2 linked regions of the Rhinolophus ferrumequinum genome follow. The protein of the gene in region 2 purifies or fractionates together with the protein of the main gene of each other region. This does not show direct contact. Links are inferred from orthologs where the notes say so. Each region holds a gene or a part of one and is shown on either strand. Other genes may lie near its edges.

Region 1 (9,923 bases), on a different chromosome or scaffold from region 2:
CTCTGCCAACCAACCAACCCCACTTGCTGGCATAGCCATAGCAGTTATATTTGTGGCTAATGGCTAACCGGTAACAGCTGATGGCCATCTACTACCCGAGCCAGCACCTTTCCACAAGAGGTCGAAAGCCTGGAAACTGCTCTCTGGGATTCTGTCCCCACAAAGTGCTACGGTGATGCCAGGTCAGAGTTGGGAAATGAATCAGCCTAAAAACAGCCATGCTCTTAACACGGTTTGATGACAGCTATAAGCAATAAAGAAATAGTTCAGGGCAGGGGCTCTGGAGCCAAACTGCCTGAGTCCAAATCCCACTTCTGCCAATTACTACATGTGTGACGGAGCTGAAATGTACTTGACCGATTCCTCAATAGCTTGAACACAGAATTACCCCACAACCCACTCCTAAATGTATACCCAAAAGAATTGGAAACAGGTGTTCAAACAAAACTTGTACAAAAATGTTCACAGCAGCACTATTCACAATCACCAAAAGATGAAAACCACCCAAATGCCGATGAACCGATGAATGGGTAATAAGCAAAATGTGATATATACATGACAGAATTATTCAGCCATAAAAAAGGAATGAAGTATAGGCATGCTTCGTTTTATTGCACTTCACAGATGTTGTGGGGTTTTCTTTTGCAAACTGAAGGCAAGACCCTCCATCAGCAAAAAGGTTATGACTTGCTTTATTGGGATACTTGCTTTATTATGGTGGCCTGGAACCGAACCCACAATATCTGCAGGGTATGCCTGCATTGATACATGCTACATGAACGAACCTTGAAAATATACTGAGTGAAAGAAGCCAGACACAGAAGGCCACATGGCGTATGATTCCATTTATATGCAACTCACATTTGCCTGTCCAGCATAGGTAAACCCATAGAGACAGAAAGCAGAGTAGTGGTCACCAGGGCCACAAGGAAGTGGGGAATGGAGTGTGACTACTTACAGGGCACAAGGGTTCCTTTTGGGGTGATGAAAATGTTCTGGAACTAAATAAAAGTGGTGGTGGTTATACAGCACAATTGTAACTGTGCTAAATGCCACTGAACTGTATGCTTTAAAATCATTAAGTGGCAAATTGTATGTGTCTTTTACCACAAATTTTTTTGAAATTTACTCAGTGCCTTAGTTTCCACATCTGTAAAATGGAGGCAGTATTGTTGAGTTTGTTTGTTTTTTTTAAAAAAAAAAAAAAAGGAAAATAAACACTTAGAATTGTGCCTGGCACAGAGTGAGTACTCAGTAAGTGTTAGTTGTCATGACTATACTTACGTGCTTGGTGCTTTCTCTAGGCCAGTACTACCCAACAGAACTTTCTATCATCTCTGCTGTCTGGCAGGCTAGCATTAGCCATGTGTAACTGCCGAGCATTTGACGTATGGCTACTGCAACAGGATCTGAATTGTTTCATTTCATTTTATTGTAATTAACTTAAATTTAAATAGCACCAGTAGCTAGTGGCAATTACAGTTCTACATCTTCTCACCAAATCCTCAGAACAAAATCCTCTCACCAAATCCTCTCACCAAATCCTTCTCACCAATTACCTCTGAGAGGTAATATGATTATCCCCATTTTAAAGAAAGGATTAAGTGATTCATCTAAGACCACAAGATTCGAGCCCAGGACTTTGACGTGGAGCTGACAGTGAAAACAATTTTGCCTGGCTCCAAAGCTTATATTCTTCCCGCTGTCCTAAGCTGTCTTTCTCCATAGACAGGACGGGTTTGGACCTAAGGTCAGGACTTCCCTTAGGGATGCTCCAGTAGGGCTTCCAAACAAGGGCACTGTTGAAACCCTAGGCAGAAAAGGCAATGCGGCAGCGAAGAGGAGGACTCGCTAGAAGAGAAGGTGACAAGACACATAGGAACTGTCCCTGTCGCTCCCTCAGTCTCTTCCGGCATCCACCCCAGTCTCTGCCATCTACTTGCCTAGTCCATCTGGGGCCTTCTCAATCTCGCTGTCCTGACCGGAGTGGTCGTCTGGGGCAAAGCGAACCTGCGGGAAGAAAAAACAATTACCCAGGACTTGGATGTCTGGGGTAGTCCAGTATTAAGCTCTAGGTTCTCAGACGCAACCCCACCCTTCCATACTCCCCCTATTTGAGTGGGGCTGGGACCCTGCAACCCGTATTTGTGCTTTGTCCTATGAAGTCAGCGAAGCTAGCGGGAGAAGGGCCTTGGCTCCCTCCTGTTCCTGCAGGCATTACCCCAGCGACACTTCACCCTGGCAGCTGGCGCGTCTTCCCATAGCGGCTGCTGAACCCAGCTTACAGTTTGCCAAAGCTTGCAGGGCCAGCCTCATCATCCAGCCCTCTCTTCAGAGGTCTGACGCCCAGGCTCTCAGGACCCCTCCTCCAGGCTCAGAGCTTGGACAGCGCCCTCTCCTCAGAGAGTGGAATTTCAGCTCCCCAAAGCCGCTCCTCTAAGCATGTAAATTTGAACCATTCCAACCTCATCCCTTGGTTCCTTAGGGTTGGTAGCTGTTTCTTGCCCGTTCCTACTCCATGTTCACTTTTTAACTTGTCAGTTACTTAACAACTTCTTAGCTAGCTAACAGCTCTTTCTGTCCAATTCTGTCTCCTGGCTGATACACTGGGAGGAACAGAGGTTTAGTTCCTCTGCGACGATGAGGGAAATCTTCTTCCCCCACAGCGAACCATATGCTTCCCTGCTCTCATCACTCAAAAGTTCCTGAAATCCTATCACCTGTAAGACCTCTTCCTAAACGGAACAAGGAATGTCCACAGCCTGCATGAAAAGACCTGATTTCAATTCCAGCTCTGCCATTCATTCAGGGTGTGACCTTGAACTTCAACCACTGTGTCTGGGTTTCCCTCTCTGGAAATTGAGAATGACTGTTTTGACCTTGCAGGGGGCTTATGATGAGATAACATTTATGAAAACATTAGCACCATTGAATTTAAATCCACCTTCTTTGTTGCTACATCTATACTGCACTTGGCACCGGCCCCAGTTAGCTTATGGTTTAGTCATACCTGGATTTTTTTTTCTAACTTTTATTTATGTAAGGGTGTTTTTCCAGGACCCATCAGCTCCAAGTCAAGTAGTTGTTTCAATCTAGTTGTGGAGGGTGCAGCTCACAGTGGCCCAGGTGGGGATCGAACCAGCAACCTTGTTGTTAAGAGCATCGCACTCTAACCGACTGAGCTAACAGGCTGCCCCCAAGTCATACCTGCATTTAAAGTGTCGATTCCACCTCCTGTAGTCAGTGACAAGCGCTGGTCACTACTGCAGGACCTCTCACTTTGACCACTGCCTGAGACCTCTAACTGTCTCCCCACTCTCCCACCCTGCCCAGCCTTCCAGTGTTAATCACTGCTCGCCTCAAAAACCTTCAGCTCCACTGCAGGAGTACAGAATTAGCCATGGCATTCACACATCCCCCTCACAAGCCATCATCAACCTGTTGAGCATCTTTCTCTCTCCAAGCTCTGAGGCCCAAGTCCCCAAGCATTTGCCATGCACTCCCACATCTCCGGGCCTCTGCAAGCACCACCACCCTCTCACCTTGGAGAGGTAGTGCACATACTTTTCTGCTATGCCCTGACAAAACGAGGCTCATCCTATCTGCACGCCAAAGTAACTTTCTTTGTAAGTCTATCACTCCATTTTTTCCTTCTTACTTTGGTTAGGTAGTATCTTTGGTGCTTCAACAAGCACGCCATTCCTCCAGCCAAAAAGCATGTCTACCGTGCCAGGCACTACGCTAGGTGCCCTGTCAACAGCAGTGAACAGAAGGTTCCTACCCTCGACGAGCTCACCATCTAACAGATTACTGACTGAAAATAAGGGCAGGTGGTGACTGTAACAATGGTCTTTAAAAAACCAGGAGCCTTCTGGAGCGCAAATGAAAACAAGTTTCTGGAAAACCTGCGTCAAACCCGGCCTTTGGGTTTCATTAACTAGAAAAGGAGCGCGCATGAGACATCATCGGGTGCTCAGGGTCAGCTGAACATCCTCACCAGTAGACACAGGTCCTTCAGGGAAAGTCGCTCTCCTCGCGCGCCCTCCCCTGGCCCCTGTCCAGGCCCCCAGCTCTCGGTCATCAGCATCACCTCCCATTTGGCAAGTACGCAGAGGCGACCCCGGGGACCCGCAGCCTTCCTTCCCCGGCCGGCGCGTCCACCCACGCCTTCGAGGTGCCCCGCCCCGCATCCCCACACCCCGCGGCCCCTCGGCCCAGCGGTTTCCAGCTAGAGCACGCGCCCAAACGGCGCTCTGCGTTCACGGGGCGGCCCCAAGCGGGCCCGAGGCGCTTCCCCGGCTCCGCGGCGCCTGCAGCTTCCCGACCCGGCCGCAGGTGGTGGCTGCGCCGGGCCCCAGCGCGGCGCTCACCCCTGAGCTGGGGAACGCCTTCCGCGCGTACGGCAACGGCGGACCCCGAGGCAACTCCGCGGTCCCCAACGCCTGGGCCCCGGCGGTCTGAGGGTCCATGCCCGGCCGCTGCTCGGTGCCCTGGACGCTGATCGGCCACGTGACGCGCCCGCCTGGCTGCCAGCCCGAGGATACGCCACAGAGGGGCCAATCAGCCGGGGGGGTGCTCCTGCACGAGGGGGGGGCGGGACTAGGGGGGTCACGAGGAAGCCGGGGGCGGGGCGCCGCAAGAGGGGCGGGGCGCGCCCGACAGCGAAAGCCCACCTACTGGTCCAAAATCTGATTTTTGTAGCACCAGCTAGTGCAGGCAAGGCGGGACTAGCTTGGTCTGGAATGTCAAGTGTTATCCCTTCGCAGCTTAAAAACCTCCAATTCCTGTTACCCGAGTCTACATGATAGTGTATAAAGCTCAGCTCTCAAAACTTTTAGTGCAATTGTAGCTCACCAACCACATTTCACTCTTGATCTCACAAACTTCCCTAGAACTCAGGCTGGAATTGGACTATAACTCACCCACAGATGAATGAGACAACTCAGTAGCCCAGTGATTCTCCCCCTTAAGTTAACGATAGTTCTTAGTGAATCCATTAGAAACCAGGACATAGGAACAAAATTTCTACAATGTGCTGGACACTGTATGTTATGGCAGTCATTAATAACCCTAGGCGTTCCGAGTCTCGCGGTGGTCCGACCTGAAAAAAGCTCCTTTGTGGAGGTGGCAGAAGACAGGCAGAGACTGCCTTCACTGCCTTTCCCCACACTTCCTGAACGTGCTCACCTTCACATTTAAGTAGCAGAAAAGCTGGAGGAAGCTGGGAGTCCTTTGCTCACCAGGCCACCTTATGACAATCTATGGGAGATTAGAGAGCCTACCTAGTCCTTCATCTCCTTCCAAGAATGTATATTTTGTAAACTGCATAACGCATTTGAAAAATTTTAGTGTAACAATACATGTGTTTTCTTTTTCACAACGTATAGACTTTCCTACAGAGAAGAGAATGTGATCAATTGATGTGTGCTGTTCTGACCCATGAGTCAGTTTCACCAAATCTAATTGGACCTATCTAGGTCAACAATGTCCAACAGAATCTTCTGTGATGGCGGGAATAAAAGTTCTATTTTTCTGTGCTGTCCAATATGGTAAACATGTGGCCAGTATAAATGAAAAATCAAGCTAATTTTAGTAAGTTTAAATGGCCATACATAACTAGAAACTACCATACTAACAGTACAGCTCTAGGTGAACTAGCTAGATGCCTTTTCATAACCTGCAACAGTGAGAACCAGATACAGATGGGACCCAGGGGACCCACCTTCATAGCCTTGCTATAAGAAGCCAACCACCATCCTTCCCTCTCCTCTTGTATGCAACATGTATCTCTTTCCTAAAATAAAAATGCCATGTAAGGGTTTAGCATGTTAAACTTCCTGGGACTTAAAGGAGAGGGAAAAGAGGAAATTATTTTTATTTTAAATCAAATAATGGGATGGATGGTTTGTTCAGTGGTTAGAGCACAGTGCTCATAACACCAAGGTTGCCGGTTCAATTCCTACATGGGATGGTGGGCTGCGCCCTCTGCAACTAAGATTGAAAACGATGACTGGACTTGGAGCTGATGGGCCCTGGAGAAACACACTATTCCCCAATATTCCCACCCCCCAAAAAAAAAACTCTTATAAATTAGTAAGAAACAAGTTTTAAAAAAATCAAAACATGAAAAGAGAACCAGGAAAACCACATTAATTTCATTAATGCCAAAGAAATACACATTAAAACAATGATGTATCACTTTTAACCTATTAAAATGGCATAAATAAAAAATATAATATCCGGGGCAGCCGGATGGCTGTTGGTTAGAGCATGAGCTCTCACCAAGGTTGCCGGTTGGATTCCCACATGGGCCAGTGGGCTGCGCACCCCCCACAACTAGATTGAAAAACAGCAACTAGACTTGGAGTTGAGTTGCGCCCTCCACAACTAGACTGAAGGACAATGACTTGACTTGGAGCTGATGGGTCCTGGGAAAAAAACACTGTTCCCCAATACTCCCCAATAAAAATTTAAAAAAAAATGTGTGTGTGTGTGTGTGTGTGTGTGTGTAAAGTATCCACCGCAGGTAAAGGTGTTGACATTTTCATACATTTCTTGAAAGTCTTTTTATACATTACAAATTGGCAATATATATATTCTTTTAAAAAGTTATATCCTTTAATCCAACAATTTTGTCAGATGTCAGTCTCCTACAGAAATAACCAGGGATGTGAACAAAGATTTACAAAAATCATTAACAGCATTTATAGTAAGAAAAAATTAGAAATAACAAGGTCCAACCAATAACAAGGTCCAACCACAGAATGTTATGAATTTTACAGGGAATGTTCTAAATTCATTAAATGTGTTTAAGGCTTTAATGACATGGAAAAATAACATAATATTAGGTTGGTGCAAAAGTAACTGTAGTTTAAAAAGTTGGAAAATTGCAAAAACCGCAATTACTTTTGCACCAACCTAATATTAAGCGAAACATCAATAAACTGTACTGAATGCTTCTCCCAGTGACATTATAACATTATGTTAAAGGATATAAAATTCAAATAACTGCCTCCCCTACTCCCAGAATGCCCTTCTGTGCTTCAAGCCATCCTCCATCATGGGCTCTGAAGCCTTTCTCTAATATGCTCCCTATCCCTGCCCTTCTTTTGTTGGCAGTCCTGCCCACTATAAACACTACTTTGCAGATCAGTCCCAGAGATAGAAGATACCTGTATAACATCTTGATCTTCTTAAAGAACTTTTTCCCCAATACCCAGCATCCTTCTCTGCTCCTTCAACCAGCTTTAGAGACATTCAGCTCTGTTCCTCTAACCCCTACCTCCATCCAAAAAAGCTTCCCTTCCTTCCTGCTTATGATGGGCACTCAATGAATGAATGAGTAAATGTTCTAACAGGATAAATCCAATTCTGATAAAGGAAATCAAATTACTGAGTTTAACTCCAGATGATATTACAGGATGCTTTTATTTTCTTCTCCTTATTCTACTCCCACCATATTTTCTACAACAAATGCATACCATGCATACTTTTATAATAAGGGAAGAATAAACTAACAGAACTGTACTTTCTCCTCCATTTTAACTGGCCCCTAGGTCTAGAAATATTCATCCTTAACCCGGGGATAATAAAAGAAACTTCAGTTGTATGATTTCCACATTATTTTGAACAACATTCAGGATCTATAGTAGATCCAGCCCCAACAAGTAGCCTCTGGCCACTGAACAGCAATTCTCTTCTGGAATTAAAAAATAATGCATTAACAAAATTAAAGCATGTCTCAAAATCAGAGAGCCTTCTTGTCTGCCATCTCTAAGCAAATTGTAGATGAACTCCTAACACCAATCTACCCAGAAGGCTTACAACACTATTTCACAAAGTTGGCTTGTTCTTCCTCTTTTCACAAATGGCCGGCTTGATGCATAGCATGTTTAGCTACAAACACCTCTGCTGACTCTCCCTGCAACATTTTCATGGCTCGCCAGTAGATTTGTCCGCAGTTCTCAGGTCTACCAAGAGGGTGGTTCAATTCTTCTTTTATATAATCCATCCAAAGATCTTTAAAGGGAACAAAAAAATTACTGTGGACATATAATATATAACTGACAAGGCTTTATTAAGTAAGATTAATTATTTAATATCGATTTAACACAAGATTTCTAAGGAACTTATTTCCACAGAAAACTGTGAAACAATACCGCTCTCAGCTTCCTTACACTGGAGTATATCAAAATGAGTTCACCGTAACCTTGTTACCATGCTTAACAAAATTTGCTTGGGTTAGTAAAAATGCCATTTTCATTCATTTCATCAGATCTGTTTTTTAAATGAGTTTAACAAATACATGTCAGTTTTTGAGTGCCTAAGTAAACAGATTTTACATGACATACCTACGCCCAGAAGTATGTTTTACAAGGCCTATAAATGTGGACAATGTGACAATAGCCAATGACAACTAATGTCAATTAACGTCCCACTATCCTTTGCTGTAATTCCCACTCCTCTTTGTTCTGACCTACATTATTAACCTTTCCCTGACAAATACCATATTTTTTAGAGAACCAAATCAAGCAAATCTTTCTCTAACCCAGCGTTCTTAATAGAAGACCCATGGACTCTTGAGCTTATGAACTTGAAATTATAAGCAAAATTACATCTGCAAGTATTTATTTATGCACAAAGTAAGGGAAGAGGTAGGAGGATACAAATTTTATTCTCAAAAAGGGCCATGACCCAGTAAAGAAACGCTGTTCTAACCGTACTGAAAAGTTCCAGACCACACATGCAAACAGACTTATATGTCTATAACTGAAGTTTACTTACCAGAATCTGTAGATCCAAACTCTCTCAAAGCCCTCTCATAATATTCTCTTAAGTTTGCCATCTTGCAGGATTCCTAACAAAAATAATCAGACAATCTTAAGCCTAATTTATAATGTCATAAATTCATTTCAACCACACTGTTAACAGCTATCATCTATTAGGTATTTTAAGGAGAGGAGGGTTGTGGCTTAAGATGAACACAGCCTGGCTTTCAACTTACCCAGAGAGAAGTCATATGCATTTACTTCCAGAGTGAAGTAAGTGTCAAACAGTGATAAAAAGCACTTTGCTACAGTAGCATGGAAAAAGCCTAATAAATTCTTGGAGGAACATGGGCAGCTTCACGGGAAAGTATGTTTGAAAGCTCTGAGGGTGAAGTAGGATTGAAATAAATAAATGCGGAAGATTCTACTCCCTATGGCTAGAGATTTCTTCCTTTTGAGTTATCTGGGCTCTGGCACATATTAGCTATGTCCACCTTAGAACATTTTGTATCAAGGCAAAGTTTATAAATACTAGTTATACGACCTTCAGCAAATTTTTTAAACCCTCTGACCTTCTAAGTGTCCTTACTCATAACACAAGGATGACATCTCAGAGTAACTACAAGGATTAAATTAAAATGCTGATTAATTATGCACCTAGGCAATAACAGCTGGTATTAACTTTACAATCAATGAATGTTCATTCTTTACCTCTACTTCCATTTAAATGTATTCTTTTGTTTCCTTTTCAAGGCAGACTAACATCTTCAGTTTAAAATTACTTTTATATAGTCAAATAACCGTTTCCTCATTCAAATTTTTCTTCACTAAGACTATTATTTCATAGAAGTGAATTTAACCTCATAGCTTACATATGCATGAAAACCAGAATCACACCTTGTTAAGACTCATAATGCCCATTGTACTACAAATTCCTTTCTACCCAGTATTCCCTTTGGTCTTATAACCCTCACACCCCTGAAAAGGTACAATGACCTCCTTTATAAGATAAGGATGCCAAGGCTTAGAATGAAGTCAGTTACCCAAGACACATAACTATTATGTTATCGATCCAAAGCCTGGCTATTAATTATTATGTTATACTATCTCTTACACTTTAGGACAAGAACAGACAATTTACCCACTCAATGATCA
Region 2 (11,063 bases):
GCATAATATCCCATTATACAAACCAACCCCATGGTAAATTTAGTCAACGTTGTTTCCAACATTTCTCTACTAGAAACAATACTGGAGGATCATTCTTGTAACTAAGTCTTGGTACACTCCTAAAAGACTTGCTGAGTCAAAGTGTTTATTTTGTAAGCTTTTAAAGCTTTTATCACATACCAGTTTATCCTCCAAATAACTGTATGTATTTAGTGAACCATCAGTTATATATTTTGTGTCTATGTTAGTTTCAGAGGCGGAAAAAATGGCATCCATCTCTACATAGTTAATCTGCATTTCTTTAATTACTAATAAACTTGAACTTTTTCTCTATGTTTCTTAACCATTTGTAGAAAACTGCCTGTTTGTGTCTTTTCATATGCAGATTTTTAAGTGCATTATCTTATGACAATTTAAGTAACTTTTAAAATTTACTTATAACCTGAAGAAAATCTTTGTTACTCAATTCCAGAACTACAAAAAGTCCCTTTATACAAGAAGACATAAGCAAACAACATAAAGATGTACAGAATCATTTATAAAATACCTGTGGGTTACTCCTTCCAATCGACATACAACCCTTGGTGAGTTTTCCAACTCCATCATCCCAGTCCCAACCATCATCATCATCATAATCTTCTTCCTCCTCCTCCTCCTCCTCCTCCTCTTCTATCTCACCTTCACCCATCTTCTCATTATTTTGAAGATCTTCAAACAGAACACCATCTTCCTCTTTGATTGTCTTCAAGTCAATGTTTTCACTAGAAATAACAATGTTTTAGTGTGTTTATACATACTCTAATTGGACTTACGTATGAATTTATTTATGACATAATAGCTTAATCTATGCCAATAAATCTAAACGTTTCCCTTTCAACATATCTCCCAATAAACTCCATCATAACACCAAGTTCTCCTGTTTTTCAGAGTTGTTCCACTTGTTGTTTGCTTATTCTCCAGGTCCTGTTAAAGAGGTGTATCAGGTTAAATCCACCTCTGCATTCATGAAGTCAGAATTTATATTGTTACTGTCTCTGCTGAATGCACTGAACTCTGATCAGTACGCCAGACCTGACTCTACGAAAACCATTCAGAGCTGTGTTAAGAGGGGGAAAAAAATTTTCTGACAAAACTTGGGAATAAGTCTAAAGCAGCCTTACCTTGAACTCAACACCACTTTACAACAAAAGGAGCTCTATTATAGATTTGTGTTACACAAGGAATGGTGACTATAAGCACCACGAATGAGAGAAGTAGGCTGGGTATAATTAAACAGAAGTGGGGATTGTCAAACCTAGAGACAAGCCCCAAGTAGAGAGAGCACGATAGGGTCTGTTTTTGCCATATGAGAATTCAGACCCAGTGTTACCATATCTTCTTAGTTTTTCAAGAGCCAGAAATCTGGATTTTTGTGTGAAATCTCCCCGTTAACTGGCATATTCAATTTTAACAAAATACTGTGCATGCCAAACGAAATATGTGTGCAGGTCAGATTCAACAGAGGTACTACTAGTTTTGACCTCTCATATGGAGAACAAGGTCAGAAACCATATAAAACAATTGATAATATGCACTACCAGCTTAAAAAGTCAGATGTGAGTCTAAGTAAATTCAGATGATCAATCCTGAATTTTTTTTTTAAGTGTGTTTTTCCAGGACCCATCAGTTCCAAGTCAAGTAGTTGTTTCAATCTAGTTGTGGAGGGCGCAGCTTACAAAGGCCCATGTAGGGATGGAACCCGCAACCTTGTTGTTAAGAGCACCGCGTTCTAACCAACTGAGCTAACCGGCGCCCCAATCCTGACTTATTAATTAGCCATGGCTTACAGGACTCCAAATCTCCATGGACATGGGTGGGAAGAGAACAAACATTAGGCAGCTGCTATTTACTAGGATTTTATAAACATAATCCATAAATTGATCATTCATTTGCCAATAACCTAGAGTGGCATGTTAAAGTTATGCCTTCAATTGTACTAGGGCTTCTCAACCTCGGTGGACAATTCTTTGTTGTGGGAGGTTGTCTTGTACCTTATAGGATTTTTAGCAGCATCTCTAGCCTCCACCTACCAGATGCCACTAGTGTATTACCATCCCCAGTTGTGACAAACAAAAATGTCTCCAGAAATTGCCCAAAGTCCCAAGGCCGGGGTGGGGGTGGGGGGCGAGGGCGGAGGCAACATCTATTGGATTACCTTTATAATATCCAGTGATGGATAATAAACCAGTGTACACTCATTACCATTAACTATGCACCAGTCACATAGGCTGTTTCTTTTTTCCCTTAACTTCTTCCCTAAGGTCTTTTGCATACTCAGCTGTAAACATAAATCTGGAATGCCCTTCTCATTTCTCTGACTAAATCCTACTTATCCTTCCAGTATTAGCTTACTATCACTTGCTCAGGGAAGTCTACCCTATTCTTCACCCACTTCTCCTTTGTACTACTTTCTAATACAAATCATTTGTCTAATTATTTAATATGTTTCCCCTGCTAGAGCGAATCTCTGTGTCAGAGTGGTTTACTAACATATCCCTACCAACTAACACTATATCTGACACATCGAAAGCCATCAACATATATTTACTAAAAATCTCCAATTGCTTAATAAAATGGCCATGTAATGAAACCTTAATGTAAACATAAAGTAAAAACCGTATTTTTTTTGGGGGGGGGGAATTCCAAAATAATTCTGGTTCATTCTGCTTTCAAGTAAAAGTTATCCTTAATTCCTTTTGTTTCATACCTCACATGCAATCTACCACCAAACTGTCACTTCTACCTCCAAAACATATCCCTATGGTCCTATCTCTAACTCTCACCATCTTTGAACTGAATTACTTCATTACTTTTGAACGGCTTCCACTCTTGCCCTCCAAAACCATCCTCTCCATAGCAGAGTAATTCCTTTAAATCGTAAATCAGATGTCATTTCCCTGCTAAAATCCTTCCTATGGCTTTCTATAAGACCTAGAATAATATCTCAGTTCCTTACCATCATTTGTAAGGCTCTATACGATCTGGCCCCTTCTCACTTATATATTGTTTACCCACTAATCTTCTCAAGTACCTCTGCAGTGCTCTAGGCACAATTACCTCTAAATCTTCCTTTTACAGCCAAGAGGGATCTCACTGCTGGGACTTTGCAAGTGCTGTCCCCTCTTCCTGAATGGCTCTTCTCTCTGCTCTTCCCTAGGTTAGCCCATTATTCTTGTTCAGTTCTGGACTTAACCCCTTCCTGACCAAATCATAACTTGGCCTATCAACTGATTTTAATTATCTGCACAGTATATATTATTATCTGGTTTTTGTTTTTTAAATACCGCTATGTACTCAATTGCCTACCCACCCTCCCAAGTAGAAAGTAAAATTCAATGACAGTAGGGACTTAGTTTGTCTTGTTCATCACTAGCTCCAGCGCCGAGGGCAGAACCTGGCACACATTAGGTGCTCACATATTTTTTGAACACTGAATGTAATTAAAGCTCAAAAACCTGTTTCCCAATCGCTATCCCCATCTCTGCCTCTCAGCGATGCTAACCAACCAACCTGGGAGCCCTGGACTACCTTGACAAGTGGCTGTCATTGATTGCCGTAAACTGGGACGACAGTCACTGCTGGGATGGACGAAGACGCAAAACGCTGTAAAAAGAGGCCCCGAGTGATGAATTACCAGTCTCCCCCTAAACCACAAACAAGTGTTAACTCCCCGACGGAGCGGTGGCGGAAGAGAGAGCAAAATCCCAACAAAGTCGGTGTACTCCACCGCCGTCTACCTGTCGGAGGAATCCGCGTCGTCGAACTGCCCGGGCACTACCCGACTCATCAGCAGCCGCCGGTAGTCCATGACCGAGAGCGCAGTTTCAGCGCCACCGAAGGCCGCCCGCCCGCCCAGCGATGGGTCAGGAACCGCACAGAGACGGTTCTATGTGCGGCCGACCCAACAGCCTCTCCGCAGATGGCCGCCTCGCAAACCACTCAGAAGCCCTCACACCAAAAGTGAGCGCCACGTGCTTTGAGGAATTAGGATCCACAGCCTTTGCACTGTGGCCTGCGCTCAACCGGAGGCCCCGCCCCTACCGGAAAGCTTGGCCTACCGGAAGTCCCGCCCCGGTGCCGGGTTGAGAGCTTGGAGCTTGCGCGGAAGTGTACGTGACAGCGATACATCGAAATGTTAGGCGGCCTTGAGATGCTGTTCTCGCTGAGCCAGCGCCGGCCGTTCCATCTGGAGTTTTAGTTCCTGCACCTCGCTTTGTGTTTCCTGCCGCAGAAGGACGCGCCAGCCAGCCCACAGATTGTTTGGCCTGGGGGCTCACACCCACAGAATTTCCCAAATCTGGCAGAGAGACTTCGAAGCCCCTAGGCCGCGCCCGCGGGGAGCGCGGGAGCCCCGCAGGCTTCCCCGCCGACATTGGCTGGCGCGGGCGGGCGGACGTCACACTGGGACGTTCCAGCGCGCCTGCATCCCAGCTGCGAGTTTTTAAGAGCCATCCGTGGAAAAGGTTGAAAAGTGTTCTCCCTCCCACAAAACCTATTGCGCGGGGAGGAAGCACGAAATCCTTATTGTGGATCCACGAAACTGCATGGACCCTGGAAGTGAGCACGCTTTTGCGACTTAAAGAGTTTGGTGCATTGTTTTGAGATGAAAATGAGTTAAGTGCTTTTAGAATATTGAAGTTTGTCATACAACTGAAAAGAATTTAAAAACAAAACCTTGGAGTTTTGGCCAGTAACTCCAGGGACACCTCTTTTAACACCCATCTTAAAACAGCTTTAGAGTGTCTCTGGAATATCTCTCGAAACATTTCAATAAATATTTTAAAAATCTAATATAAATCTCGTAAGGGCAGAATGAAAGATGGCAACAGTAAGCCTAACTTAAAAAAATATACAACTGGCAGATGGGGCCGTGTGAACAAAGTTGTAAAAGTGTAGTTGGAAGTTCTGGGTTCACAGGCAAATTTAAGAAATAAGGCCCTTGCGTTTTTTGCATTTGGAAAAGGCAAAACAAGGATTTTTCAGATCCCCATCACCACAACACAGACAGCATTTATGTGTTTGGAAAACGGAGAAGGTAAGCATAAAGTTGGGCCAATCTCCAATCCTGAATAGCCTGCTTAGCTCAGTGGCTTTTTAATATTGAGGATGACATAAATTTGGAAAAAAAAAATTCCTCAGTAAATTATTAATTTAATAATTCAATAAAGTAATCCAGGCAAATGGGTAGTGACTAGATTGAGATGGTTTAATAGAAATAATTCATTGGAGTGCAGGATTTAGTGAATACTCTGGACAACACTGGTCTGTTTGATGTAGGGTGTATGGAAAAACCATAAGTGGACTTCTCAAAGTATGTATAATCAGTAAATACAAACACTGATACCCTTGAAACAATGGTGAAGATTAAAACAGTAAAATGAATAGGTGCTGAATTGTGAGATAGAGATTTAGACTAAAGACCTTGTAGGAACTTTTAAAAAAATAGATGATTGGGTAGGTAAAGAAGTTTTAGGAGAGAGAAGCACTTGCCAGGGCAGACTACCGAAAAGGAACACGATCTATTTGCAAAGAAGTGAGGCTGAGCAGGAGTACTGGGTAGGTAATGTGGGTTCAGGCTACGGAAGACCTAGAAAGTCAAGCAGAAGAATTTGAAGTCAGCGTGATTGGACATCCTATCCACCTCGATCCCCCTGACAGACTTGAGGGGTCACAAGAATATGGACCAGTGTGTTGACATAAGGGATGGGAAGAAAGCATGAGTTATAAAAACATTTTTAAAAGAGAAATGGACAGGAATTGGTAACTGAATAGCTCATGGATAATGAGATAGAAGGACGCCAGGTTTTGAAACCCGAGTGCCTGAGAGAATGTGGCATTAGGAGGTGAGGGAAAATTAATTTACATTGTTGGATTTAACTTGATAATGAGGTATTCTAATAGCGATTGTCAAGTAAATAGAAATACAGTGTTGATGGAACCTAATGGTAGGTATCTGGTAATATTTTGTGAATATTTTTTGATTAAGTAACTTAGAGATCCCTTCATCTCCTCAGTACCCACATCTTTTAGGTTAATTATTGGATAGTAGCCACACATATTGATTTGCTTTTGTCCGAATTAGTATTACTACCATACAAAGTTACCATGGTATATTCAGGCTAAAATTTTTTATTTTTCCAATAACTTGACAAATGACATTTTAAAATTTAGGACAGTGAACTTTGCTGCTTTCTTAATGTGAGGAAGGATGGGGGTGGGGGGGGAGTTTTCTGTTTGCATATACTAATAGACATTAAAATTATGTTTTTTAAAGAGACCTTCCATCACTCAACAGTTAGGAGCAAGGACTATCAGAAAGTTTGGTCATCACTTCAGATACAATACTGTACATTTTGAAGTGGATGCTTTTCATAAAAATTAGAAAGCATGGCAGAAGCAGATGCCATGAATTCAGAAGTCTTTCTCAAGACTTAACTCACTCAAATTCTCCCTTCTAAATGGAAGCCAGCAGTACTACTTGAGACTTGCCTCAGGTGTGCAGTACTTAAAAGTTCTGGGAGGTACAGACGTATTTAGCATTCACATTGTTTTCCATATGAAATGTCTTCAAAATTACTAGGAACAATGAAAGAATCTCTAACGGAAGCATAGAAGACGGGAACACAGGGTCTGGTTTTCCCAGTTCCACTAGTATACAAAGAAGGGTGAGAATTTTACATACAGAGAGTATTAAAACTGACCCTTCCTAGTCTCTTCGTGAAGTCCCATGAGTACAGCCAGGGGACATTGCCGCAACAACTCAGTCACAGAGTCAGGACAAGAACCCAAGGAGCCTGACATCTGGTCTAGAGCATTTTCCACTATGTCAGCATGCAAATGATTCACATGTTCATAATGACATTGACAGTGCCATGTAAATGACTTCCTGTCTGCATGAAAATTCCTAGTGCTGTTTGTCACAAAATAAAAGAGATTTTTATGTCCCAGGATCTTCATGAATGTCATTCTAAATATTTGACAATTATTAAGCAAGAGTGTAGGGAAATAATAGGAATCTATTAGGTTTGCCACATAAAATTACCTTTTTGTAGTTCAAAACCAGACAAATATTGACAATTCATGTGGTTCAGCCCATAAATTCACATAATCTTTCTAAAAGGCTGTTTAATGCTAGGAAATCCAGAGCTTAACTGCACATTTTGTTGTTAATTTTGCCCCAGGAAGTATACAAGTGAGATATTTGCAGAATAATTCACAGCTAACATTGGAAACAACCTAAATTTTCATCAGTAGGGGACTAGTTAAATTATCGTATATATGTACAGTGGATATGTAAACCTTAAATATGATAATACAGATACATATTTGTTGACCTGGAAATATGGTCACATTGCTTCTCACTAGGCAGAAGACTTTTGAGTGTTTTTCACTTTCTTTTTTAAACAATGTTCAAGATTCATTTTTATAATTATAAAAAACTTTTCATTTTGAAAAAATATTTTGGTCATAGTATTATGAGGTTAATCAGGGCCCAAGATACTATGTACTGAATTATAAAGAATGAATGTCTTAAATTATTTACGTAAGGAGGTCCTCCCTCTTGGATTTCACTGACCATTTTATTCTTTATAAAAAATTTATAGACCTAAGAAACAAAAGGCATATTTCAGTTAAACACAGTAATGTTATAGAAGACTAGAGTTAGAAGTGATCTCTGAAATTTGATGATTAGTGGAGTCAGAAGTCTGTCTAAACATCAATGCATGTGAATAGTGCTATTTTATTTTTCAAGTATATTATTCTTGATGCTTTAAAATCTAATTAGGAGAGGAATGGTCTGAATTAGCAACAAGTCTAAAAGACAGATTGCTATAAAATATAATTCAGTTCTTACTGTACTTCAGATACATTCAATAAGTGGAACAATGCTATAAAAAGCATATTGAATAGAGGTTTGTAACCAGCTGACTTTACTGAGAGATATGAACTTTTTTAGAGTATCATTTAGGTCCACATATTTGGTATACTACTCATGATTAAACCAATGTTTTCTTTAAACATCTAAAATATTTTTCTTACTGTCTTATTTATACTATTAATTTACTTAATAAGCCCTTTCATCTTAGATTACATGAAGTTAACTTTGAGAATAAACCCTACATGAATTTTTATATATTTATATTTATAAGAATTAGATTTCACCCCATTACTAGAATCCTGTTTCATATATCTTCAATGTTAAAAGATGAATAACAACTACCCTAATGTTGTATAGAGCAGATTTAACGAACATCAAAGAATTGTCAGTAAGAGATACGTAGGTTATCACATACCCCTATGTTTATAGGAACATGATTTGACTTACCAAAAAAACCAGAATATTAAAATAGCAAGACACTTATTTAATAAGGGAAAGTCAGATATACAGTGGGGAGAGATAGCAGGAAGCACATTCTACCCATGCAACAAAAAATACTAATAAAAATTGCATAGCAATGTACATACACCTTTACAAGAGGCTTATGATGTTTGTTTGAGGAATTAATATTAATGTCCATTTGATTATAAATACAGAATGAAGTAAAGAATATAAAAAGGGAAAATGAGTCCAAACTGACACTTTCCAAAGAAATTTATAGCACACTAGATGATCTGTTAGGTGGTGAGTATCTACCTCTTTGTTAGCAACATACAGAGAAACTGAGACTTTTTTTATATCTTGTGATGATGATGATGATGATGATGATGGCCACGTACTGTGATAAGCATTTTATACACATTATTACTTTTAAGCCACAAACAATCCCATGAAATAGAGCTTTTTTTCCTTTGTAAACAAGGGCTATTTTAACCTCCATTTTAAAGATGAAAAAAGTGAGGCTCGGAGTAACAAGAACTAGAAACTATAATCAACACATTTGACTATATTAAAATAAAATAAAAACTTCTGTGATCAAATTATAATCAACAAAGTAAAAAAACAAGCCACAATCTAAGATACATATCACGTATTAACAAAGGATTAGTATCCAAAATAAAGAACTCCAATAAGAAAAAGATACATATAACACAATAGAAAAACACATATATGTATTAGTTTGCTAGAGCTGCTGTGAAGAAATACCATACACTGGGTGGCTTCAACAATTCAAATTTATATTCTCACAGTTTTTGAGGCTGGAAGTCCAAGATCAAGGTGCCCTCAGAGTTGACTGGTTTCTCCTGAGGCCTCTCACATGCTGCCGTCTTGTGTCCACGTGGCTGTTTCTCTGCCTCCTTGGTGTCTCTTCTTCCTGTAAGGACACCAGTCATAGTGCATTGGGCCTGACCCTTACGATCTCATCTAACCTTAATTGCCTCCTGAAAGGCCCTATCTCCAACTACAGTCACGTTTCAAGATACTGGGGGTTAAGCCTTCAACTTGTGAATTTTGAGGAAACACAATTCAATCCATAATAGTGTCTAAGAGGCAGAAAAGAAAAGGAAACCTGCCAGACCATTAAATACCTGAAAGGATGTACATTAAAAATACCACAAAATGCCATTTCATATATAGCAGTTTGATGTGTTGGAGGGATGTAGAGCAAAGGAACTCTTATGCCTCTGGTATTAGTATAAATTGGTATAATCACTTTGGAGGTATCTAGTCAATCATTTTGCAGTATCTAGTCAAGTTAAAGATAATGTATTTTCTATAACCCAGGACTACACTTATAGATATGTACCCAGAGCCTAGATAAAAATTCTTTTTTTAAGAAAACTTACATGAAGTATTTTATTGTATGCAGCCTACAGTGTCCAGCTTTTGCATGTGGTCATAGAAGTTGGGAATACAAGCGTGTAGACGATCTTAGCCTTGGTCTCTTAATGACACATCTTTGCTCTTGGCGATCTTTCCTAATTCTATTGCTGCTCTTCAAGACTCAGCTTTCTTTTGATTTCATGGCTTCAGTCTCCGTTTGAATTGATGTCTGAACCAAGATAAGCAAAATCTTTAACAGCAATTCCGACATCTTCATTGTCTATGTTAAAGTTGTGTATTTCTTCATGATTTTTGTCTTCTCAATGTTCAAGTGCAGTTTTTTGGCACTTCTTTCACTTTCATCAGAAGTCATTTCAAATCATTACTACTTTCTGCCAGTGAGATGGCGTCTCTGCATATCTTAATTTATTAATATTTCTCCTTCCTCTGAGTCTAATTTTTCATTTATGTTCTGTATATAGATTAAACAGAGAGATAAAATTGTACATGTATATGTTTATACAGAGGGTGCCAAAAAATGTATACACATTTTAAGGAAAAAAAACTATTAAAACTGTAATACTCAATATACACTGGTAACAAAAGATGAATACAAGTCATGCATATACATTTTTTGGCACCCCCAGTATATACACGTATATATATACATAATGATGCTATATACATAACATTTTGAAACAGAACAATAGTGTGTATCCACAATTTGCCCAGGGTGCTGCGGGATATTTTGGAATTTGAAGGAAACAGTGGTACTGGATGTCTGTTGGATCCCCACACACTACTAGCTTGAGATAGTTCACTATTTCAATATAAAATCATACTACAATCCTTTCTATAACATCTTATTTGCAAAGCTGGGGTTTGGGATGATGCTGTGATAAAAAGCAAGTTGAACAGGAAGTGAGGGTTGGCTTTGCCCAATCTGACTCCAAGGTTTGAGACATGCAGTGCCCAACAGTACATTCAAGTAGTAAGTTTAGTTAAGAATGTAATAAGATGTGATATTTTTCTTTCAGTTTACATATGTGTATTTTGAAACAGTTATTAAGTGGGTAGGACAAATACTTGTTAAGTTGTTTGAGCTTAACTACTTAATAAATGGAACTGTTAGGTACTTCTTTTGGTCTAGGGGTTCTGTGAAAATATTACTGAGACGTTAAGGTGTCACAGAATGAGAAAGTCTGGGAACTTAATATATATTATTTAGAGTACATAAATGAGTAGTAAAAGTAGAAAAATATGGATGGGAAGAATACATACATACCAGCTTCAGTAATCGTGGTTATCTCTGGGGAGGGAG

What was found.
Region 1: the proteins of RIOK1 (region 2) and COPRS purify together in Homo sapiens (affinity purification with mass spectrometry; 3 studies listed by BioGRID and IntAct, with this or other methods). This does not show direct contact. The link is inferred for Rhinolophus ferrumequinum from reciprocal best matches to the Homo sapiens genes RIOK1 and COPRS.

Annotation. Positions count from the first base shown.
Region 1 is NC_046304.1:20,363,145-20,373,067, forward strand, and holds the start of COPRS (coordinator of PRMT5 and differentiation stimulator), read right to left. Parts: upstream 4,592-9,923; 5' UTR 4,470-4,591; coding exon 4,371-4,469; intron 2,011-4,370; coding exon 1,944-2,010; intron 1-1,943. Other genes in the region: UTP6 (U3 small nucleolar RNA-associated protein 6 homolog), read right to left, coding at 7,862-8,019, 8,785-8,857. UniProt on the Homo sapiens protein: Histone-binding protein required for histone H4 methyltransferase activity of PRMT5.
Region 2 is NC_046292.1:86,549,134-86,560,196, forward strand, and holds the start of RIOK1 (serine/threonine-protein kinase RIO1), read right to left. Parts: upstream 4,065-11,063; 5' UTR 3,848-4,064; coding exon 3,777-3,847; intron 762-3,776; coding exon 548-761; intron 1-547. UniProt on the Homo sapiens protein: Involved in the final steps of cytoplasmic maturation of the 40S ribosomal subunit. Involved in processing of 18S-E pre-rRNA to the mature 18S rRNA. Required for the recycling of NOB1 and PNO1 from the late 40S precursor.